4 linked regions of the Arabidopsis thaliana genome follow. The protein of the gene in region 1 interacts with the protein of each later gene in a pairwise test. Each region holds a gene or a part of one and is shown in the gene's direction. Other genes may lie near its edges. The genes, in order: PTR6, MHX, FACE2 and ABCI12.

Evidence for each region.
Region 2: the proteins of PTR6 (region 1) and MHX interact in a protein complementation assay, tested with the Arabidopsis thaliana proteins (one large-scale study listed by BioGRID).
Region 3: the proteins of PTR6 (region 1) and FACE2 interact in a protein complementation assay, tested with the Arabidopsis thaliana proteins (one large-scale study listed by BioGRID).
Region 4: the proteins of PTR6 (region 1) and ABCI12 interact in a protein complementation assay, tested with the Arabidopsis thaliana proteins (one large-scale study listed by BioGRID).

Annotation. Positions count from the first base shown.
Region 1 is NC_003070.9:22,981,063-22,987,002, reverse strand, and holds PTR6 (Major facilitator superfamily protein), read left to right. Parts: upstream 1-2,580; 5' UTR 2,581-2,626; coding exon 2,627-2,734; intron 2,735-2,894; coding exon 2,895-3,018; intron 3,019-3,101; coding exon 3,102-3,319; intron 3,320-3,404; coding exon 3,405-4,856; 3' UTR 4,857-5,058; downstream 5,059-5,940. Other genes in the region: AT1G62210 (uncharacterized protein), read right to left, coding at 377-907; AT1G62190 (Kua-ubiquitin conjugating enzyme hybrid localization domain-containing protein), read right to left, coding at 5,140-5,940.
Region 2 is NC_003071.7:19,522,829-19,529,588, reverse strand, and holds MHX (magnesium/proton exchanger), read left to right. Parts: upstream 1-2,008; 5' UTR 2,009-2,277; intron 2,278-2,693; 5' UTR 2,694-2,760; coding exon 2,761-3,151; intron 3,152-3,237; coding exon 3,238-3,413; intron 3,414-3,504; coding exon 3,505-3,623; intron 3,624-3,714; coding exon 3,715-3,887; intron 3,888-4,035; coding exon 4,036-4,151; intron 4,152-4,269; coding exon 4,270-4,486; intron 4,487-4,573; coding exon 4,574-4,703; intron 4,704-4,773; coding exon 4,774-5,071; 3' UTR 5,072-5,472; downstream 5,473-6,760. Other genes in the region: PHR2 (photolyase/blue-light receptor 2), read right to left, coding at 5,857-5,938, 6,034-6,099, 6,194-6,435, 6,748-6,760.
Region 3 is NC_003071.7:15,212,026-15,217,847, forward strand, and holds FACE2 (farnesylated protein-converting enzyme 2), read left to right. Parts: upstream 1-2,360; 5' UTR 2,361-2,581; coding exon 2,582-2,791; intron 2,792-3,099; coding exon 3,100-3,159; intron 3,160-3,244; coding exon 3,245-3,451; intron 3,452-3,624; coding exon 3,625-3,736; intron 3,737-3,838; coding exon 3,839-3,910; intron 3,911-3,985; coding exon 3,986-4,048; coding exon of another isoform or gene 4,049-4,104; exon of another isoform or gene 4,105-4,133; coding exon 4,134-4,211; intron 4,212-4,290; coding exon 4,291-4,424; 3' UTR 4,425-4,588; downstream 4,589-5,822. Other genes in the region: AT2G36295 (uncharacterized protein), read left to right, coding at 1-71; AT2G36300 (Integral membrane Yip1 family protein), read right to left, coding at 1,337-2,104. UniProt on the Arabidopsis thaliana protein: Protease involved in the processing of a variety of prenylated proteins containing the C-terminal CAAX motif, where C is a cysteine modified with an isoprenoid lipid, A is an aliphatic amino acid and X is any C-terminal amino acid.
Region 4 is NC_003074.8:7,600,501-7,606,075, reverse strand, and holds ABCI12 (cobalt ion transmembrane transporter), read left to right. Parts: upstream 1-2,176; 5' UTR 2,177-2,355; coding exon 2,356-2,718; intron 2,719-2,828; coding exon 2,829-2,945; intron 2,946-3,027; coding exon 3,028-3,264; intron 3,265-3,349; coding exon 3,350-3,514; intron 3,515-3,614; coding exon 3,615-3,690; intron 3,691-3,758; coding exon 3,759-3,823; intron 3,824-3,914; coding exon 3,915-4,067; 3' UTR 4,068-4,254; downstream 4,255-5,575. Other genes in the region: AT3G21590 (Senescence/dehydration-associated protein-like protein), read left to right, coding at 287-491, 561-634, 905-1,026, 1,154-1,320, 1,437-1,525; AT3G21570 (proline-rich nuclear receptor coactivator), read left to right, coding at 5,369-5,575.

The DNA of each region.
Region 1 (5,940 bases):
ACACTCGAGAATTTCCTGAATATGGTAAATTCAAATGACAAAATCTTATAAATTGATAGAAATCTACAACAACAAAAGGGCGCCCGGTCCAAGTTTCTTGTACCAAAGCTATTGACACAAGTTCTAATAAAAAATCCTACAAAAGACAAAATATGGAAATATTTATTGATATTTGATTTACACATAAGACTTTAAACCTTTGCGGGGTATCGGGTAGCCAACTCTTTTTATAATGTTGAAAATTAAAATGAAGAAATAGAAAGTCACAATCTCTAAATTATTTGTTTTGTCATACAAAAGAGATTAATGTGACTTTGTAGAGAATATTTATACGTACATATAAGCCTAAGCATGATCACTTACGCTTTATAATGTTTCAAGGCTTTGCACCACTCCCACCGTTGCTACCATCTTCACTCACCTTTGCATTGATGACAAATCTCGTTTCAAAGTTTTTAGTAGTAAAAAGAACTTCGCTTTGTACGTTGGTACCGACTCCCATAACGGAAACACTAGGTTTTCCAGTGTTGTTAGTGGCAAGAGTTGCTTCACCTTCACGTAGAGGAGCTGGTCTTAAAACGCCATTAAGAGGAGCTTTGGTGCCAATAGTGGCTCCACTTTCTTTGATGGGAGAAACTCCTACAATGACACCAATAACAGGAGTTTTAGTGCCATTAGTGGATCCGCCTTCTGTTACATGAGACGGAGCAACTCCTCTAATGCCACCACTAAGAGGAGCTTTGGTGCCATTTGTGGCTCCACCAGTAACATTGTTAGTAGAGTTTCCAATTGGCTGTTTTTTATTCATGAGTTTGGTATTATTGGCCATTCCTCCGATCTTACGTGCTCCAACATTACCACTCAAAGCTGCAATGAATACCACCACAAGTAACTTGATGATATTCATCGTTTTTGGCTCTAATTTTTTTTTATAATCTAAGATAATATTTTGTTTGTGTAGCTTTGAGATTGTGTTCCTAATATCATTCCCACATGTATATAAATAATGTGTATTTTGTACTTACTTAGAGAGAAATACATAGATGTGAAGAGAGTTTTATACGTTTTAATAATCATTCATTATCTTATAGTGACAAATAATGACTCTTCTTCGCTTCATTGAAATTTCAGAGATGCAATGTCCACAAGAATCATGCACACTTGAGCCGTTTAACGTGTGTTGATTCAGATGGATGACTATGCGAAAGTATAGCTACAAAATCACCTAACAGTCAAAATTTAAAATAATTTTCCAACATAAATGTTTCGTATCGTGGAAAGTATAACTTTCTTTTAAAACAAAGACGGTGATTGCATTAACTCGTACCAAATCAATACCATGGGCAACTTAGAGCATGTCCAACGGTTAAGGCCCTAAAAATTTCTAAAAAGACAAAAAAATAGATTTTATTTTAATAGTTATAATCTATTTTTTTAATACAGATAGACCAGTAATAAAAATACATGTGTTATTTTGTTTGTGAGCTCGTCCCTTACTTACGGGTTTTAAGAGTTTCTCTCTCATGTTCCTACTAACTTTTGATTATTTTTTACTTTTTTTATTGTTAGGGCCTCACCTAAAAGCCTCCGGTTGGGGATGGTCTTTAATGCATTAACTTTCAAATCAATATGGGATTGCATTCACTTTCTTTTTGGGTCTTCAAAAAGTTCAAAAACCTCAAGTAATTTCCCTACTTAAATTATCCTTAAAATCTGAAAAAAGAGATTAATCAACTTCTTAAATTCTTCTTATGGTTTTGGTTTACTTTTACTTTTTTTGGCATATGATTTATTTATTAACATTGAAAATAAAATAAAAACAACTTAAAAAGTTGGGTTTAAGTTTTTTTTTGAGCTTTAACACTTGAAGAATGAAATCATAAGACTTTTAAGTTATAAAATCGAATATGGACTTAAATATATCCGGATATCCGTTATCCGGTTCAAATTCTCGGATTATTCGTATCTATATCTTTATTCGGACTATCCGTCGTTTTACTATCTGCATATGTTGGCCGGCTATCCGTTTGTTTGGATAAAAATCCGTGGTAAAATATATTAACCTCATGCGTACTTTGGTCTACTAATAATTAGACTATAAATATTATTCTAATTTTTTGGTGTGTTATTATTGGAGTTGTCTCCTACCAAACAAAAATGCGAAAAGAGTCAATTTTGAATTTTGATCATTTTGATAAAAAGTAAAAGAATCGTTTTATTAAATATTTTTAAATGATCTTTTTTTTTCAAAATCAATCAAACCCGTTATATCTAGATATCTATTAACCGGCCTAAATTCTAGGATTATTTGTATCCGTCGTTTAACTATTCGTATATCTGGCCGGCTATCCGTTTGTTTGGTTCAAAAACCGGATACGGATATCCACGGTTTAAATAGATTAACCTCATGCCTACCTACTTTTGGTATTCTAATAATTAGACTATTCTAATTTTCTGGTGTGCTATTGTTGGAGTTGTCTCCTAAAAAAAATGCAAAGAAGAGTCAATTTTGATCATTTAAAAATATTTAATAAAAACAATTCCTTTAGTTTAATTGGTATACTGGGCCATCAATGGGACCGACCACCAAGAGTTGTGCAAGCAATCGGATTATTTAGCGTTTTTGATGAGTTCCAGTAATCTATTTGCTTTTCTCAATAGCTTTAAAATGGTGAATTCGAATGAAGAAGACGAAAGGAGAATTCTTGACGTTGAAGAATCTCTTCTTACACAGGTTTCGACTTAAATCTATCAATTTGCGTTTGCCAATTTCTCTCCATTTATTTACCCCTTGACATCTTTCTAATTATAGCTATACTTTCAATTTTTAGAATCCACTATGTTCAAGATTCTAACCACAAAAATCCAATCTTTTTTTTGTCTGAATATCTCAGGAGGAAGTGAACAATCACTTGACCGGATTGTCTTCTACAGCTGAAGATGGTTCTATTGACATTTATGGAAACCCACCATCGAAGAAGAAGACAGGAAACTGGAAAGCTTGTCCCTTTATTCTTGGTAAACAAAAAAAAAAGATAAAAAAAAAATTCTTGTTTTATCAGTACTTATATATAACCTCCAAATTTGGTCTCAATGTACAGGAAACGAATGTTGTGAGAGATTAGCTTACTATGGAATTGCCAAGAATCTAATCACTTACTACACAAGTGAATTACACGAGTCCAATGTTTCTGCAGCTAGTGACGTTATGATTTGGCAAGGAACTTGCTATATCACACCTCTCATTGGAGCTGTTATAGCTGATTCTTACTGGGGAAGATACTGGACCATTGCTTCTTTCTCTGCTATTTATTTCATTGTAAGACTAATCAATCTCTTTGGATACTTGCATTTGTTTGTTTAGGTGATTTGCATAGTTAGTTAATCTTGGTTTTTGAATTTAGGGAATGGCTTTGTTGACACTCTCGGCTTCACTTCCGGTTTTAAAGCCAGCGGCATGTGCTGGCGTTGCTGCGGCTCTATGCTCACCAGCAACAACGGTTCAGTATGCGGTTTTCTTTACAGGGCTTTACCTTATTGCTCTTGGTACTGGAGGTATCAAACCATGTGTATCATCTTTTGGTGCTGATCAGTTTGATGATACTGACCCGAGGGAACGAGTTAGAAAAGCTTCTTTCTTTAACTGGTTTTACTTCTCCATCAACATTGGTTCATTTATCTCATCCACTTTGTTAGTTTGGGTTCAAGAAAATGTCGGGTGGGGACTCGGTTTCTTGATTCCCACCGTGTTTATGGGAGTCTCTATTGCGAGTTTCTTCATTGGAACTCCGCTTTATCGGTTTCAGAAACCGGGAGGTAGTCCGATTACTAGAGTTTGCCAAGTTCTTGTAGCTGCATACCGTAAATTGAAGCTTAATCTCCCTGAAGATATCTCATTTCTGTATGAAACACGAGAGAAAAACTCCATGATTGCTGGAAGCAGGAAGATTCAACACACTGACGGTTACAAGAAAATACCTGTCCCCTTTCAGTTTCTCATTTTGAGCTTTTGGAAATGTTCATCGGAACATAAACCTTTGTTTTTATATCTGTGCAGGTTTCTTGACAAAGCTGCTGTTATCTCAGAATATGAATCTAAATCCGGTGCTTTTTCCAACCCATGGAAGCTATGTACTGTAACTCAAGTCGAAGAAGTTAAGACTCTAATCCGTATGTTTCCAATCTGGGCCTCGGGGATCGTCTACTCGGTCCTATATTCACAGATTTCCACTCTATTCGTGCAACAAGGACGGTCCATGAACCGAATAATCCGTTCTTTCGAGATCCCTCCTGCTTCATTCGGGGTTTTCGACACACTTATCGTGCTCATATCCATCCCAATATATGACCGTTTCCTCGTACCCTTTGTAAGACGGTTCACAGGGATACCAAAAGGGTTAACTGATCTGCAGCGAATGGGCATTGGTCTTTTTCTCTCTGTCCTAAGCATTGCAGCTGCAGCTATTGTTGAGACAGTGCGGTTGCAGCTTGCTCAAGACTTTGTTGCAATGAGCATATTTTGGCAGATCCCTCAGTACATACTAATGGGAATAGCAGAGGTCTTTTTCTTCATTGGTCGAGTTGAGTTTTTCTATGATGAATCTCCTGATGCAATGAGAAGTGTATGCAGCGCTTTGGCACTACTCAATACCGCAGTCGGAAGCTACCTGAGCTCGTTGATCCTCACTCTTGTGGCGTATTTCACAGCTCTTGGAGGTAAAGATGGTTGGGTTCCAGACGACCTTAATAAAGGACATCTTGACTACTTCTTCTGGCTTTTGGTCTCTCTTGGACTTGTCAACATTCCTGTTTATGCCTTGATTTGTGTTAAGCACACAAAGAAGAAGGCTTTGTAAGCTATTTTTGTAACAAGCTATGTTGTTTTGGTTCATCATATTCATGGTATACTCTGTATATTGTAATCTGTACTAGTAGATTTTCTTAAAAATATGAATAATGTTTCCGCCATGTAAAAAGAGACTAGAAAGGTTATTTGTAAAAAGTAGTAGTTCAGGTTATTGAAGTTTGCATGCTTACGAAAGATCATCAACAATGGAGGTTTAATCAGCTTACAAGATCTGATACTTAAACCTAATACATGCTCTTTATTCGACACACTCATACATATTCAGATATTCTTTAAATCTTTGTAAAGAAATTAGTCTCGGTTTCTTCTGTCCAGTCAGAGTTTGGCTCGTTCCACGAGTTTGGTCTCACACCGAACTGGAAAAACAACGCCATCTCCAATGCCTTAAATAAGTTACTTTCGTCCAAAACTTTGTTCCATGCCCCACTCACTACACAGTAGTTGCTGTTATACGGTGCTTGGTGATGTCCCGGGTGATCTTTCCGTGAGACAAGCAGTCCCATGTCCTGCAACGCCATCACGAGAGGTGGAAGCTTGCTCTTGGTTCCATGAGCCCAAGCATGGAATTGTTGGCTTAACAAAATGCAAAATGCAAATGTGCTCACAAAGCTATGAAACAGAGGATTGTTAATTGCAAGGTTTAGTGGTAGAACTATAAAAGTTATGGCTCGAGCGATAGTGTATGAATTGTTGGCGAATTGACGTTTTGTGATTGTCCAGGGATACTTGTGATGACCCTGAGACGCTTCAAGTTGGGCTCCAACTATAGGTGTTGATGCACCACCATAGTTATCAATGGCCCAGTGGTAAACACCGGAGCCTAGATCAGCAAACACGTACCCTGCATAACACGCTAAAGCTGGTTGGAGCCAAAGATGAGAACCAAACCCTCCAATGATAGATTTAGCGAAAGAGGCAAATATGGTTGTACTTCCCGCTGCAACCCATAACCGATGAGTCCATGTCGATTGCAGAGTCGGGTCGTTGTTCTTGGAAAGAGGAGGATTCACAAGGCGTTTCTCAACTACAAGGTTCTCATGATTAAGCTGAGGATTGGTGGTAGTAACAGAGCA
Region 2 (6,760 bases), on another chromosome or scaffold:
TTCCACCAGTGATGAACTTTCTCAAAAGAGTTTATTATATACGAACCTAGCTACTAGCCAAAGTCTTACTTTTCTCAAAACCAAACGTTAATGAAACTACCATTTGATGTATACATATGGGTAGAAAACAAGCCACCGACACCTTTGTCACTCATTGGGTGAGCTCTTCCTAAAGAAGATGGTCTTTTCCAAATTCCAATTCAGCAGCATGTGTAGTAGTAGTTTCGTGGATCTGTATGTATTCTCGACCGCGGTTACAACTAACGATTTATAACTAAGGCGTTTTAGTTTTACGAATAGTATTTCGACCTCGTGTTATCGTTCCCATATGGGAGATTTATATCTTTCTCTATGAGATGTTTGTGAGACTGTATGATTTTGTACATTTGAGTTTTTGGAATTGTTTTCGTCAATTTAACAAAAATAATTGGTGACAACAAAAAAACTATCAGTCTTAGTAATATGTGACGTATTTCTTATCAAATTTAGATTGACCATGTAAAGAGTTTAGCAATTAAATCCAATTACATTGCTTGTGTACTTATTCATGTTGTAATAAATTGTAGATTTACAACTATGACAATCCTATATAACAGAACAAAAACAAATACGTATTTGAACTTTCTAGTTTACACTTTACACGAATTACACGTGATAAATAACAGGTAGATTTATGTCAATGTCATACATAGCCTAAATCAACTAAAAAGTAAACAATATAGTTCAAATGTATATATATACTAGATAAGGTCCGCCTATTTAGGCGGGTGTACCCGAAATTTTCAAATACTCGAACGGATATAAACTTTAAAACCCGAAAAACTCAAACCCAAACCCGAATAGGTATGCAAACATATCTCAAATATAAGTATATATTAGTTATATTTATACTTATATATAGAAAATATTAGAATTTTTTTGGATATTTTAGTTATTTTTGTGTATTTTTAGATATATTCAAGCAAAACTACTCATGTTGTTTTGGGAATTTTTGAAAATTTCAAGTAATTTAATAGATTTGCACACAAAATTTGATATTTCAATATATAAATAACTCGAACCCGAACCCGAACCCAAACCGAACCCGACCCGATAATATTTTTTTGTTTAAAAATACATACAACCAAAATCTTATTTCTACCCAATTTCTTTAAGTAATAATTATATTAATAAAACCTACAGTCTAATTTCTACAGCAATAAAACTTACAGCTACAGTCATCACACCTACAACAAAAATTCTACAGCAGTAAATCTACAGTTACAGACAAACCAATCACCCACGTAATCTCGTAAGTTAATTTTACATCATGCAAATTAATATTAAATGAGTTAAAATTAATAAATGAAAATAATTGAAAAGTTAAATCCTATAAGCTAAGCTATTTTTCTCAAAGTGTTCTATTTTCACTTATGATTACATGAGTTAAAGACAAATTTGTTAATTTTGCTTTTGTTGAATAAATGTTAATTGTTTATAAATATATAGACATATAAATTAGTATATGTAAATTTGTTTACTTTTTAAGATTTTCTATTTTTTTAAAGAATAAAAAAGTTAAATTTTGAATGACACATGTAAACATCTAATCGTTTGACTTGACACTGTGCCAAGTCAATTTTGAAAACCATACTTTATATAATAAGATATATATATATATATATATTTTTTGTCCTCATAGTTCAATTGTATATATCTCAATAATTTTTTTAATCAGAAAAAAACAAAATACATATATATCCACTAATTCTGATTTGATAATGCGTTCACACTTCATATTTATCATGTTTATCTTTTATAAAGAAAATAAATTAGTCAGGTCAGGTTTTTAGTAAGATATATGTTTATGATAATATCTAAACTCGAGGAGATGATAAAACTAATATTACTCAGGTTGAAATTAAAATCTAATGCTTATAAGGATGAAATGAAACAAAATTCAGGGAGTAAAAAGATATAAAAAAAACTTGCAATTGAGGTCTCATATTCTTAAACCTTACCAAAGAAAGGCGAGATTAATTAATCCTAGTTAGTCAAGTAAATCATCCAATTAGATAAGATCACGTGTCGGTCGATGTACGCTTGAATCCTCGTTTCGATACAATAATTGAAGTGTGTCATGCAGAGATTAGAGAGATGTGTATAAATGGCTCCCAAGTCTCCACCGCAATATCCAACGCTTGACCGATTCCAATCAGCTCCTCTCGATTTCCGTTTGTCGGAAAATCTCTCCCGTGATCGGCGTATTGTGAATGCCGCTCACCGAGATATTCTCCGGTACGTCCGCATTGATCAATTTCGTCGCGTGGCTCACTCTGTTTCATCTGTTCTTTTCTTATTTTTTAGCTATTTTTGTTGAGATTTGTTCGTTGAAAATTATGGTTTTGTGAAAAGAACCCAACTTGTTTTACTGAACCCATGATGAAAGTTATAATCTTTTGATCTGGTTACCTCTGGATTTTGATTACGCATACAGTGGAACATGCAATTGTTATTAGCATTGGTTATAGATTGGATTTCGGTTACATGCCATTGGATCCTTTGCAATGTTTAGTTTGTGTTACAGATTCTCTGGAAAGAAATCTTTTTGCATGTTCCGTTTGTTTCGCATCCTCTTGATACTGTTCGATCGATCAGGCTACAGGTTTCATCAGTTTCTTCTAAAAGTTGTAAGCTTCTTTTTGGTGTGCCAGATTCTTTTCCCCAGTGAGGACAAGTGTTCAGTTGACTTATTAGGAGGTGGGGTTTGAATAAGTTACAATGGCCTCAATTCTTAATCAAACCCAGGAGTTGCAAGAATCTTCTAAGGTTCTTGGGCATTTAAGATGTGAAAACTTCTTTCTATTCCCCGGAGAAAACACTTTGTCAGATGGTTTGAGGGGTGTGTTATATTTTCTCGGTCTTGCCTACTGCTTTATTGGGTTGTCAGCCATCACTGCACGGTTCTTCAAGTCTATGGAGAATGTCGTGAAACATTCCCGTAAAGTGGTTACAATTGATCCCATTACTAAAGCTGAAGTCATCACATACAAGAAAGTTTGGAACTTTACTATTGCAGACATCAGTTTGTTGGCGTTTGGAACTAGCTTCCCTCAGATTTCTTTGGCTACCATCGATGCAATACGGAATATGGGGGAGCGGTATGCTGGAGGTCTGGTGGTTGTTCCTTTCTTCCTTCCAAAACTCTAGTTTTTACTTTTAAGTTCATGAATTCTTATATCATGTTTTGTCATATAGGTCTTGGTCCTGGAACACTTGTTGGCTCAGCTGCATTTGATCTTTTCCCCATCCACGCTGTTTGTGTCGTTGTGCCAAAAGCTGGAGAACTGAAAAAGATATCCGACTTAGGTGTTTGGCTAGTTGAGCTCGTATGGTCTTTTTGGGCTTACATCTGGCTATACATAATCCTCGAGGTAACTGTGAAAAGCGGTTTAAACAGATTCTGTTGAGTCTATACTCTATACTGATAAGGTCTAAAAATCTGTTTCTTTTCACGTCTCACAGGTGTGGTCACCAAACGTAATTACACTTGTGGAGGCATTATTGACAGTACTGCAATACGGATTGCTTCTAGTTCATGCGTACGCCCAAGACAAGCGATGGCCTTACTTGTCTTTACCAATGTGGGTTTCTTTTCCAGACAATAATATTAGTTCCTTCAAAATGGATTTCTACTAAAGATTGTATCTTTGTGTTTGTATTTGATACTTGCAGGTCAAGAGGTGATAGGCCAGAGGAGTGGGTTCCAGAGGAGATTGATACATCCAAAGATGACAATGACAATGATGTTCATGATGTGTATTCGGATGCTGCTCAAGATGCTGTTGAATCGGGAAGCAGAAACATTGTTGATATCTTCTCTATTCATTCAGCTAACAATGATACAGGTACTAAGTATGATTAGGCTGTCTATTCTATTGATATAAGATCAGTTTTAGCGTATTTGCTTATTTCCAAATCTATGTGATTCCCATATTTATCTCTGGTAGTATATTGTTATAAATCAAACTTTCCCTGTAACAAACACTTTTGCAGGGATCACTTATCATACTGTGGCAGATACTCCACCCGATTCTGCGACTAAGAAGGGTAAGGCGAAGAATTCTACTGTTTTTGACATTTGGAAACATCAATTCGTGGATGCAATAACGGTAAAAATCTTCAACTTACCAAGTGTTTTCTAGATTCTTCTATATCCTATTTTGGGCTTTTGATCATTATCAACACATCTTTCTTAACTTGTTTCTCTTCCTATTCGTAATCAAACAGTTGGAAACATCAGAATCAAAGAAAGTGGATAGCATTTATCTTCGAATCGCGAAATCTTTCTGGCATTTACTCCTCGCCCCTTGGAAACTGCTTTTTGCATTTGTGCCCCCCTGCAACATTGCTCACGGTTGGATCGCTTTCATCTGCTCTCTCCTCTTCATCAGTGGAGTAGCCTTTGTTGTCACAAGATTTACTGACCTTATAAGCTGTGTCACTGGTACACACCCTCACCGCTTTCAAAAACTGAAGTTATAAGATTAAACATTTGAGCTCTAAAACATTAGAAACTCTTTTCATCTTGCAGGAATAAACCCATATGTGATAGCATTCACAGCACTCGCAAGTGGAACTTCATGGCCAGACTTAGTAGCAAGTAAAATCGCTGCAGAGCGACAACTAACCGCAGATTCAGCTATTGCAAACATCACCTGCAGGTAAAAATCTCAAAACCCTTTACAAACATTGAAGATCTTTTCATGATCTTTTTGGTGATAAATTATGCAGTAACTCGGTGAACATCTATGTGGGGATTGGAGTTCCGTGGCTGATAAACACAGTCTACAACTACTTTGCATACAGAGAGCCTTTATACATAGAAAACGCTAAAGGATTAAGCTTTTCGCTTCTGATATTCTTTGCGACATCAGTGGGATGTATCGTGGTGCTTGTGTTGAGAAGGTTGATTATAGGAGCTGAGCTTGGAGGTCCAAGGCTATGGGCTTGGCTTACTTCTGCCTATTTCATGATGCTTTGGGTCGTCTTCGTTGTTCTTTCTTCTTTGAAAGTTTCAGGCGTCATATAGAAGAAGCAACAAAAGGAAAAACCCCATGAGTAGAAGAAAAAGTCTTAGCTTACTTGCACATGTCTCAGTTTTTGTTTTTCTTACTTGTTAAGGGGGTTTTATATAATTATCAAAGTTCAAAGGCAGTTGGCTAAATATGTGTTGCAAATATAAATCATATTGACTATGATTTTGGAGGCTTCATCTCTAGTTAGGAGGTGCATATATGGAGTACATTTTCATTATCCTGCAGTTTTTTTTGTTTTTTTATTTGCAGTGTTACCAATTTGTGGTACATATATGCAAACTTTCTCTAAAGTCAAGCAAATAATCTTAGTCGATTAATATAAACTTTTATATGTAACTTTCATCCAAGTAACTAGTGTTTAGTACGGTTCTTTAATAAGTGTTGTAGAATTTCTAATGCCCATTTACCACGAAGTGCATATTCTAGTTGCTGCTTGCTTCTGATATTAGTGACATCTTAATATTCCTGAATTTAATATTCATAGACACAACTACTTCGGTTATTTTCTAAGATACATTCTCAAGTCTTAACCACAAAGGAGAGCGTCTCAAATTGTAGAGACTTTTTATGGAATGAGTATCCGAAATGTTTAGAACAGGGAACGGACAACTTGATTGAGCCAAAAAAAGAAGCTTAGATTTTATTCTCCTGACACTCAAGTTTCAAAAGAGAGCAGTAAAGTCCTGTCCGGATAGCAAATTAATCCACCATACACCAGAGTAGGGCAAAGAAACAGGTCGCTTCTAACTTTTCCGGTCACCTGAAAGTTTTCAAATGTTTAAGCAAAGGCACCGGTACAGGCTGTAGCCGGACCAGCCTCGACCTGCGTCTTCGCTGAGCTGTATTTCTTGGTTATAAACCTGTTCCAAGTTTAAACACACATCAAAGAGAGAATCAGACAAAATACAAATTCTACATTTCTACTAGGGGGCAAGTTAAGAAAGTAAGAGCTCACCTGAAGAAATCCCTCCATAGCAACTCATACATTAACCAGTTGAGTCCTGTATCTCCCGGTCCGTTCCTGAGAAAATCATTTCAAAGAATGATAATTAGACACATACACTTACTATGTTCACCAGAGTTTCCTGAAGTGTTTTGCGTTTCTGAGACATTACCTTGGAGTTGTGGAGGTGGTTGATGCGGAGATTGTTTTCTTCAGCTCATCGAACATGGAACGAGGAGAGATGCTTCCCATGGCTAACCAAGGTGATATCTTGCAAGAGAAGTTTGCACCAAAGACACTGTTGTTGCCTCCTTTCTGGTTTCCCTTGCTCAACCGAGCCTGACAATCCGCGGCAAAGCTCTTTAGTCTAGTCAACGCCTCTGTCTCTCCTCCAACCATTGTCGGTTTCCCCTCCTGAGCAGAACAAAATGTTAACTCCTAAGAGAAGGTGTAAGACAGTAAGAGCCGCAGACGAATATTGGACCTAAAGAGAAACGTTCATTGATCCTAAGAAGAATCCATGGACCTTCAAACAGCACTACTACTATTAACACTTGATAGTACTTATCCCTATCACTCTATGGGTAAGTAGCTCTTCTCCTATAGAAATGGAACCAATTGGCAGAGTTTGAATTATAAGTCCCACAAGTTTCCACCTTTTCTAAATGCCTAAACCTAGATGGATAAAGGAATCAATCAAGCTAAGCAAAGATGAAGAACTCAAACCTGGCTAGTCCTA
Region 3 (5,822 bases), on another chromosome or scaffold:
GGAGTGATTTGGTTTGGTCTAGAGGGGTTCTCTATGTTGATAATCAAAGAATTGAGAGTAAGAATACTTAATCAGATGTATATCTTACAATTTTACCTTGAAACACAAATACGTATCTTATAGACACTTGAGAGATAATCTTGTCAATATATGCAAGTGTTACGAGTGTTTAATCAGATGGTTTATCACTATCTGGATATCATGGAAGAACTAGGTGAGTATGAGTATATATGGTTTCCTTTGACAAGATCCTGGTAAGGGAGAGACCAAGCCGCCTAAAAGTTTGGTTTCAATTGAGTCCAAGGATCGAAATTGTAGGGTATGTCTTAAGTACATCCACCAGATATATCAGAAATTTTACATCTTTACATTGTATGTTTAAAACAATTGCCTACTCCCCTTTGAGTCAATTTGGATTCTAAAGAAAAGGTGGAACACAAAAATGGTTCCCTCGGAACGAGTGTTGCAACACGAAAATATAGAGATCATTTCTAACACCAGTTCTACTGAATGTTTTAGGAGAAGGTAAAGCTGACAAATACTATGCTCACTCAATTGGACATAGCTGATTCTTCTCGACACATTAAAACAAATTCCATCTAAGAGAGTATGAATTGCGGATAAATCTCTCTCTAATTTCCGTGACACAGCAAATACTATCAGGAAAAGTAAGTGCAGTTCTGGGATTGACAGTAGAAGACGAACCTGAAGCCAAGATCCCATGTCCCTACTTATCTATGCCACCTAATCAGGGAACATACCAACACCGAGCAAACCACTAAATACTAATCACTCTTTCATTAGACTATGCCTAAGTTTCCAACAGCTCTAAAACCAACTCAAAATTCTACTCTACCTACATGGAGCCATACTTTAAGCAAATCTAATGCCAATCATTCCTAAAACTTGGGACCTTTAAGTATAATCCAAGCAAGAAGTCAGCACATCTTCATAGCCTCACACCGGGAAAGTAAATAGCAAAATAAACATGAAATAGGAAGCATATAAACCTCTTCTGCATTAGTACAGAAGCATATCATCCGCAACATCAATTCCAATACTCTCACAAATCTAATGTCCAGGAACAAACTATGTCAAAAGACATATCGACCAAATTGTATAAATAATTCTTAAGTAAGAACCTTAAAGATCAAGTGACAGATACAAACATTGAATCAAATTTCTTAAACACCTTTCTAAATTTATCCAAAAAAGCCTTTACACACCGTGCTATTCCCACCCAATTCAACCTCACATCAAAGAACTTATATTGCAGCCTTTTTTTGCTACTTGCTAACACAGCATCGGAAGTGATTCACGATCTATCAATATGGAATCAAAATATAACAAGAAGAGAGAAGAGAGTATAGATCAAGAAACAAGCGTACGCGATCAAGCCACGGTGCTCTTCTCCACCATCAGCAAGAGATACCACCAATGTAGAGCAGGCTCTAGTGGACCACAACACAAACAAAGCCGCAAGCACAAACCGAACCGGCCCTGCTCCCTGGGGAACGAACAATGACACCGCCGATAAAACCACCACCGGAAGCAAACAGTATCCGACCAAGCTCGTACACGTATGGAGATTAAGGTTCCCATTTCTACCAGCAAGCATGTTAAAGACGACGTATAGAAAGATAGAGGAGACGACGATCCATCCAAGTATGACACCGAACTGGATCTTACCAGCTAACAACTGAAATAAGCAAAGCGCAAGGTACAGAAAGATCGGACCAGATAGATCTGAATCTTTGTGAACAGCTTGGTTAATCCGAAAAGGATTGAGAATCGATCTAGTCTTCTTCCAGATTTGATCTGGATGGATACCGAGCTCGTCGAGTAATGGCTCCTCATCTTCAAACGAAGCTGAACCTCCACCAAAAGAAGAAGAGGAAGCGATTGTCCCGCCGAATGGTCCGGCAGGTGTAGCGGAAGACGCGGCTGCGGATCCAATGTCGAATGACATGAAAGGGATTGCGGAAGAAGAGGGACGCGGCGGTTGAAACGGTGTCGCTGGGAATCTTCGTTGCTGGACATTAGCACCGCCTGAAGATCCACCGGAGGGGAAAACTACAGGTGGAACTGCGAAATCCTTCGTCATCTTCTTTCCGAAATTGAGATCTCACCAAATCAGCAAAGAGATTCGAAATTAGGGTTTCAAGTTTGGATCAATGAGATGAATTTTTTAACCCAATTCACACGTTCGTGACGTTTCAGAGAAAATTCCTTTCTTTTTTTTGTTCTCTTCTTCTTCTTGACAGTGAAGAGACAACTTTAGAAGAAGGCATCTGAGGGTAGTTTCGTCATTCCGTCTAGTTAATGACGAAATATAACCAATAGGCTTCTTCGAAACTGGCATGGTGACGTATATCTTCTGATGATATTACCGTTATACCCTCTTTTATAAACGAAATTGGCCCAATGGGTCTGTTCGGCCCAGTAGTCATCCGTTTTAGTCTATAACGTGGCACGATGTAATTGGTTAAAGATTAGAAGACCGCCGGACTAAGATTTAACCAGCGGTGACTTCGACACTTATTAGCCGGTATATTTCTTCGCCGGAGCTTCCTCAACGATTATGGCCACCGATGGCGAGAGTATCTCGATGTCGTTGGCGGTGGCTACCTGCGTCGCGATGGCACTATTCTACGTTTTGATCCTTTACGTTCCCACCGTGATACTCCGTCTCCCGTCGGCTTCTTCTTACACCGAATTCATGATTCGGCGATTCATCTGCGCGGCCATTTGTACTGTAGCATCTCTCGTCTTCACAGCTTTTATACTTCCGGTAAGCTTCTTTGAGTACCGCCATTTCTCGATTTGAAGTTCATTCTCCGTTGATCTGTAACCAAATTAGGTCCAAATCTAGATGCATTTGGTGTTTTGATGAAAGTTAAACTAAAAGTAAAGAAATTTGATGTATTTGTAACTTTGTTGAGAGTTGAATTAGCTTTTACTAGTTGTTGTAGGTTCACACAATTTGTCTCTAAGAATGTAACACTCAAATATTGGTGACTATGTTGTGTTTGGTACAATTCAACGCTAGTTACAGGAATCTCTGAAACTTGTCTTCCTTTTTTGCTTGAGTAATGTTAGATAAAAAGCTGGGAGGCCTCTTATATACTTGGAGTTTATGGCATAAGGAAAGATCATCTGGTAAGTTCTTTGTCTCAATTTGTTTACTCGTAGCTTATTGTACACTATTCATATTAAAATGGTTATGTTTTGTGATATGGAACAGTGGCAAGGAGTGGTGTATCCTCTTCTATTGACCTCGCTCGTTTATGCTGGGTCTTTGGTGTTGAAGTTGTTTACTCTCCTGGAATCATGGAAGGAAAATGGCGGAGGATGTAGTTCCTTTAATTACATCAGAAGCTTTTTCCAAACAATCCCTGCTTCGGTATTGACAAGTGCTTCTAATGTTTCCGTTTGGCGCAATTTTATCGTGGTAATCATATGTTTGCCATCTCTGTGTGCTTATCTTGTCAATTCTTTATTGAAATTGCATAAGGCATTGCTTGCTAATTGTCTGAGGACTATATGCATCAGTTTGGTGTATAAGTAAGTTCTAAATCGAACAAGTTATAATCTGTTAGAGCTGGCGTTTCTTATGATTTGCAGGCACCAGTAACTGAGGAGCTGGTTTTCCGATCATGTATGATACCTTTGCTTCTGTGTGCTGGGTTTAGGATTAACACTGCCATCTTTCTGTGCCCAGTTCTCTTTAGCTTGGGTTTGTTTCTTTCTCTCTCTCTCTCTCTCTGTGAATAACAGTTTACAACTCGAGTGAAAAGAAAATTACTGGATTTGTCTGACTTTTATATGTTTTGTGTAGCTCACTTAAACCATTTTAGAGAGATGTACATCAGGCATAACCGCAGCTATCTCCGGGCTTCACTTATTGTTGGTATGTCTTTGCCATCCATAATCATAATAATATTGTTTGTTGATCAGTCCTGAGCTTCACTTGTCCGTTGATCAGGTCTTCAGCTTGGCTACACAGTCATTTTTGGTGCATATGCATCGTTTCTCTTCATCAGAACCGGTAACATTCCAGGCATTTATATATCTTATACATGTAAAAGCCTTTCTAATGGATGATTGTCTCCTGCATTGTGTAAATTTTACAGGACATCTTGCTGCTCCTTTGTTTGCTCATATATTTTGCAACTACATGGGATTGCCTGTGCTATACGCAAATGGAAAAGGTAAGACATAAAGTTCAAGGTTGTTAACAAATGCAAATGCAAAAGAATAAGCTAAACATGGTTATGGTTCTTCTCTCAGGTTTGGTGAGTGCAGCGTTCTTAGGCGGTGTGGTTGGGTTCGTCTTACTTCTCTTTCCTTTAACAAAGCCTCTCATGTACAACGATAGTACCAACGATTGTCCGTGTTGGCTTGGCTATTGTTTGTGGAATTGACACTTCTCCAAGTTTTTTTTTATATATCATCATGTCTTAGAATCTATTTTTTGACACAATATTGGAATTATGGTCTTTTACTGCAAGCTAATGTTTCTTGATAGTTTATGTAGTTTTTTCCTTGTAAATATATAATAATAATAATAATTGGTTCAAGTCTCCAAAATTAGTGTTGGCTAATTGTCCATTTTTTTCCGGTATTATCCCTAATGATTCTCTTGCTATCCTAGGAGGGACAGGAAGAAGGATGATCTACATCCCCAAGTCTAACCTAAACTATATTGTCCAATGTCAACACGCCAAAATTCATTTGATTTATATATAAAAATAGAGAAACAATGATTAGAAATTGAACATAGGTCCATAATCTTACATCAGAGATTCAGAAGATGATGTCTTGCTTGATGATCATCCAAAGAGATTTTGGGGGTAATCATCAAACGGATATAATTTTCTGAAAATTATATTTCAAAGTTGACTTTCAAAGTCTGAGTTTATGATGATGATTTTCACTTAGGAGTTACGAAAATTATGTTTCTAGGATTCGTAGGTCTCTCAGTAATTTTCTCACCACCACTTGATTACTATGTCATATTCCTACGAAATTTGAAGCTTGGATAGTTGAATTTATGGTCAATAAATTATCTGTACACTACACATATATTGTGTTTGTGTGAAGTAAACGGTGATTTAACGGGAGAGGATCTCTTCATAAAGAAGATGTGGTTGATTATGCTTGCATATAACAGAATTTGTTGAACCGGAAAATCATCCTCGACAAAACCAATATGCAGTAATCTACTCTAAAATGTATTTTACCCAAACTATACACTACTACTATCTAGTGAGATTCATTACTATTGTTTATGTGGATAGTTTTAAAAAGATGAAGACCAATACTATTATGATCTATTCATAAATCCTATTCTTATTTTATAGTTGTAAGTTGAGCTTTTATAATAGAGAGCATAAATATTGCTGGTATTTGAACTAATACAAACCGTTAAAAAAAGGGAACTAATACAAAAAGAAAAATCAACTAAATTTTCACTAATACTAAAAATTTGCAAAATTATGTTAATTTACGTTTATTTATTTATATTATAAATAAGTGAGTAAAATTCAAAATATTTATTTACCTTACATTTTAAATTTATCATCGCAAAATACACCACAAAATTTCATTAAGAAATATTTGTTTTTTTGTAAAGGAGGTAATAAATGACGTTTTAATATGATACAGTCAATAGGATACAACTTTGATCACGTGATTTAAAATTGGTGGTAAACCTATGTTCTCCTAAACACTTTTTCGTATCTTCTGATATCCTTATGGACCTTATCACTACTTTATCCATATATAAATTTCAATAATTAAAAGAAAACAACCACTTTACA
Region 4 (5,575 bases), on another chromosome or scaffold:
GGTCAAATTTAGAAGTTGTTTCTATAGATGAAATCATATATTAAGAAAAGGTATTCTCTCATCTTCTGTTGAAACAACTTGCTAGTTATACAACTAGAAAATTTTACTTATTCTTCACTACCAAGCTATATGATCATATTTTATGGTCTTACATTTTTGTTGGTTATTAATATGATCAAATGGTAAGTGTTTACGTCATTACCTTCGATCATCCAACATTATATAGGAACGAGCCTCACATATAAACCAAACTTAAAAGTACTACTGTACTAAGAAAGAAGACACAATGTCCACATCAACCCAAGAAAACCAATCTGCCCAAGCGGTGAACGAAGAAGTTTTGTTGGAGAATCCCGATTACGGAGTCCAAATCGTCGATAAATCCGAACTGTTGGAGCTAGCCTTGAGTTTCTTAGGGGAAGACGGAGAAATCATGGAAAACCCTGAGTTTCTTGGAGATATCATGGGGGAGAAATCTTCAAGTACTTCAGGTAAGAACAACAATGAAATTGATTGGAAAAAGTTTGCACCGAAGGCTGAAGACTACAAAAATGGTGTAGCCAAGGCCATCGCGGTAGGAACAGGGCATATCATCAAGGGAATCTTCACTTGTAGCAATTCTTACTCTAAGAAGGTCTCATACATATAAGTCCCTCTCATGATGCTTATGAGTGTTAATAGATGATTGTGATTTGAATCGAAATATTTGTTGTAGTAAAGAATCATGAACTTCCAATTCAAACCCAACTTGTGGAACGACTTATGTGTTTTATTTACTAGTATAGATCATCTTATTTTTGTGTTGGATTTTTAAAAACTTTTATATGAACATGGAGATGTAAGACGCACATATTGTAGTATTTTTTATTATTAATATCGTTTTATTTTCTTACAACAAAAACAGATTCACGAGGAAGGAACGATTGCTGAAGAGGATGAGGAAAGAAGTGGTGACATATCACAAATTGATGGAGGTGGCAACAATGAAACTAATAAGAAGAATAAACTCAACAAAAATCTTCAAAGGTATTCATATTTTAATCTCTATCCCACAAAATAGTATATATTATACCAAACAATAAAATCTTGGTTCTTGTTCCTTCTTATAATGAACCAAATCTTGGTTATTTTGTTGGATGTAACATATACATAGAGCGGAGAAGCTGTGGAAGGTGAGCGAGGCTATAGGAATGGCGGCCTTAGAAGGTGGAGATTTGGTGAGCAGTTCGATGATAGCTCCGGTGGTTAAGTCGAAGTTAGGGAAGGCATTGTTATCCACTGCTCCAGGAGAGGTTATCTTGGCATCACTTGATTCTTTTCGTAAGTTACATAGAATAGCTCCATTAATTGTCAATCTATACTCATATTCATTTATTTTGAAGTTTTTGAGATCAAAATTTAAATAAAACAGATAAACACTTTGATGTGGTCAATAGATAATATAATTGGTGCTGCTGAAGCGGCAGAAATACAAACTCATTATGCCACATCCATGGCTGCTACTAGACTTGTGAGTAAGAGGTAAAAAGCTCACTTTGTGATCCTCAATTTTGAGAATGAATTATGTTTCTATAGTAACACACCGGTATTTGAATCAAAAGAATGATTATATCGGTAGAAAATAAAATCGAAGTTGGTAGAATTATTGTATAGCGTGCATACAATCTAATAATTAATTACCAAATAGTTTTGAGGGGTAGCTAATGATTTTTAGAGATAGGTTATCATTTTTATTTGTTAGGATTGTTTAGATGAGTTATATAACATGTTTACATGACCATCGAATTTTACAATTTTATACATTTATTGAGTTGAGTGTAACACATATTCACATTTTTGTGATGACCGCACCAAAGTTTTGGAGAGAAAGCCGGAAAAACCACCGGAATAATACTGGAAACAACGGGCAGCTTAGGCCGAACCGCCTGGAATATTCAAAAAGCTCTCGAGCCAACTTTTTCCATCACCTCAAAAATTGTCAAAAATGCTCCTAGGCAGTAATATGTTATCTATCTTAAAAGCTAAGTTACATTTTCATATGCTGTATTGTATCAAATTACTTAATCTTGGTTTTGGTGTGGCTATGACTCTACGAGAAAAGATTTATACAAAAAGAGTGTGAGAAAATCCAAAACGAGTCTATATATACATCAAATTCGAACAAGAACCGAAATCCAAATTTTGGTATACTTTGACTTTTGTTATTATGAGAAGTTGAGAACCACAGTCAACGTCCGACAAAACCAACAAGTACAACAGTTTAACACTTGACAGTTTACAGTATCTCTCTCTCTACCAAGTACAGAATTTCCCGCTCTAGGGCATATGTCTGATCCAATCCGAAATTGAAAACTCATGAATCACTCCAATCTTGCCAATCCAACAGTCTCCCTCACCGTAACCCTAATCCCCAAACACCCAATTCGTCATCTCACATCTCCAATTCCTAACCGGAACTTTACAAACCCTAAGCTTCTCTTCCCGCTCCGGCTTAATGAGACTCCTTCCTCCTCTCTCGCCGCGAAAAGGGTTTTCATTGTCAGAGCCACCGTCGACGGAGACGGTAAAACCGGTAATTGGGTGAACCGGTTACCAATTCCAGGACTTGGAGCCGAAAACGTCTTCAGATTGATTTCAAGCGCCACCGGAAGTCCCATCGGACAATTCATATCGTCTCCTGTGACATTTCTCCACTCGGTGGATCCCAGAATCAAATTGGTATATTGAATTCTTGATTCTTATCAAATTTCTAATCCAATTTTGTTAAAAAGTTTGAGTCTTTTTTTTTTTGTTAAAGCTTGAATTTTGGTATTTGTATATATGTGTAGGTATGGCTATTAACTCTAGTAGTTCTTCCAGCAAGAGCAAATCTAGTTGTGCGTTTAGGACTTGTTCTATGCACAGCTCTTTTGTCAATCCTTGTTCTCCCAAGACAAGTTTGGATAGTGAGTTCTGTTTCTCTGTCACAACTCTGTTTCTATATGTGATCTATCTGCTCTGCTGAGTTTCCTAACTTTTTCTGTAAAGGATCAATTGGCGAGAGTGTCGCTTCTTTCGGGTATTCTCTTCATAACATTGGGGCTAGGTTCAGATGGTGCACCTCCAATGCTTCAATCAAGAACACCACCATCTTCAATCACAAGCTTGCCTAATCTTCCCATGTCTTTAAGCGGTTATTCGTACATGTTACTGAAGCTTGGTCCTTTGCAATTCACAAGGAAAGGTTTGTCTGTTGGAAGCACAGCCGCATGCTTAACCTTTATTGTAAGTCGGTTTTTCGACTTCCGCGGTTTACCTATTTCCTTTCTTGATTAGATCACTTAATGGAACATTTGGTTTTTGGTCACAGATCTTCCAAAGTGCTAGTATTTGCCTTGCAACAACAACACCAGAGCAACTTGCACTAGCTCTACGTTGGTTCTTGTTCCCATTGACATATATTGGTGTTCCAGTCAGTGAAATTATCCTCACGCTACTGCTTTCACTGAGATTCATTAATTTGGTTTTCGATGAGGTAACGACTGTTCACTTATTCGCTTTAATATTATCAATCAGCCTAGTTATTCCAAGTCCTAAACCACATAATGGTACGTTGTGCATATGTTACATTGTAGGTCCGAAGTGTTTCACTGGGAATTGTATCGCGAAGAGTAAACTGGCAGCAGCTTACTGTTCTGGAGACACTTGATAGTAAGAATCTAAAAGTTTCTTCTCTCTTTCTATATACATCTCATCTTACAAGTGATCGCTTTTTGTAGTTTTCGCGTCATTCATACGCCGCATCTTCAAGAATATATTTCGTCATGCCGAACAAATATCACAGGTCAAATAGATTTCACTTATTATCATCTCATTGATTTGAGAATCAAATAAGAATTCTCTGTTGAAGAAGTTTGTAATTTATGTGCATGCAGGCCATGATTGTTAGAGGCTTCAGAGGAGAGAGCAGTAGCCACAAGATCTACTTCTTCTCTGGCTCTTCGAATAAGTTTGCAGATTTTGCATCAGTTTTGTGTTTAATCGGTGTAATCTCAACCGCACTCTTGTCTGAATACTTTCTTGTCTAATATTGATTCATACTAATCTTTATTCGAGCTAAACTTGGAACATAATTCAGAAGAAAAGATGATCTTGAGGTAGAATCTCTATCATGATCATCCAAATGTTGTATGTGATAAATTTCTTCCCCAATGTGTAAGATTTCGTTGGGGGTCCGGTTAGGGTAACACAATACAACTTTGTTATGCTCGCCGACCAAGAAACTCATCCCATCAGCAAACATATTCCAACTCGGATTAATGGTTTGCACTGTTGAGAACTTGCTCCATGAGATGACTGAATCCATACTAGTTGTCACCCATACATTTAAGTCTTGTGAATGTGTTTCATCATTATAATAACCTAACACTAACAGACAAAGTTTTCTATTTTTGCACGAAGAAATTATACCTAATGAAACAAATACCCTTTAGAAAAAGTGTAAGAAATTGCCACATTTCTTCTTTCAAATTACGTCAAAAATACAATCTATACTTAAAGAGTTAAGAAAGATGATCCCAAGCCAACCAAGGGCGTGATCTCTTCAATCTCACTCGATAAAGTCTGGTACACCCTTGTGTGATTTGATATGGTTTTCGTGTCCAGAAGAGACAAAGGCAGACGAAAACAGTGTCTCACATCTTTTTCTAGAAAATAACGGGTCAATGTCTTCCCAAGCCACTCGTGCTTGCTTCTATAAACAACATCAATCTTGAATTCTACCAAAAACACTCAAACTATATTTCGGCAATATAGTTTCTTGCATTGGAAGCAATCACTTGTTTCCATCATCACAGCTTGAAAAAGATTTGTCATTGGAATTAGTTCATATTTACAGTTCTCATTTAAAACATGTCAATATATGTAGTCCAATGCTTGTTTGATTAATCCCATAGAGCAACATTACATTAATTCAGCAAAAATTAGATTTGTGGAAAATCAAATTTAAAAATGGAAAAACGGACAGGGAAACAAACTAAATTAAACAAAAAGAAAAATAGAATTATGTGTTTAGGTTACAGATGCATCGTTACGAGGAAACGAAGCTCTGACAGAGAAGCCATTTTCTCCATTTTTGTCATCTCTTCTAATTTCTTCTATTTATTCCAGTATTCCATTAACCAGCAAAAAAACTCATAAATTAGATTATTTGTAGATTTTAACCAATTTACAAAAATTTCGAGCAGGAATCGAAGAAAAGGACTATTTGACCCTTTTCTTCTTCCTCCTCCCTCATTTCTACCACCACGATTTCTTCTTTATTTATTAGCCGCCGAAGGGAATTCCTCCGGCGCCATTTTTTATAATTTTTTTGTTTTTATCTTTAGAGATGGGAACCGAAATTATCAGGCCTCAAAATTGTTTGGTTGACCGGATGAGAGATTCTCCGGCGACTTTTTTTAACTCCCGGAGGAATCATTTTCACCGGAAACCGCCTCTCAAACCTGATCAAAGGAGAAGATTCGGTTCCGATGAGTTCAGAACGACGACAAAGAACATTGTTAGGAGAAAAGGAGAGTCTTTTGACTCATTCTCA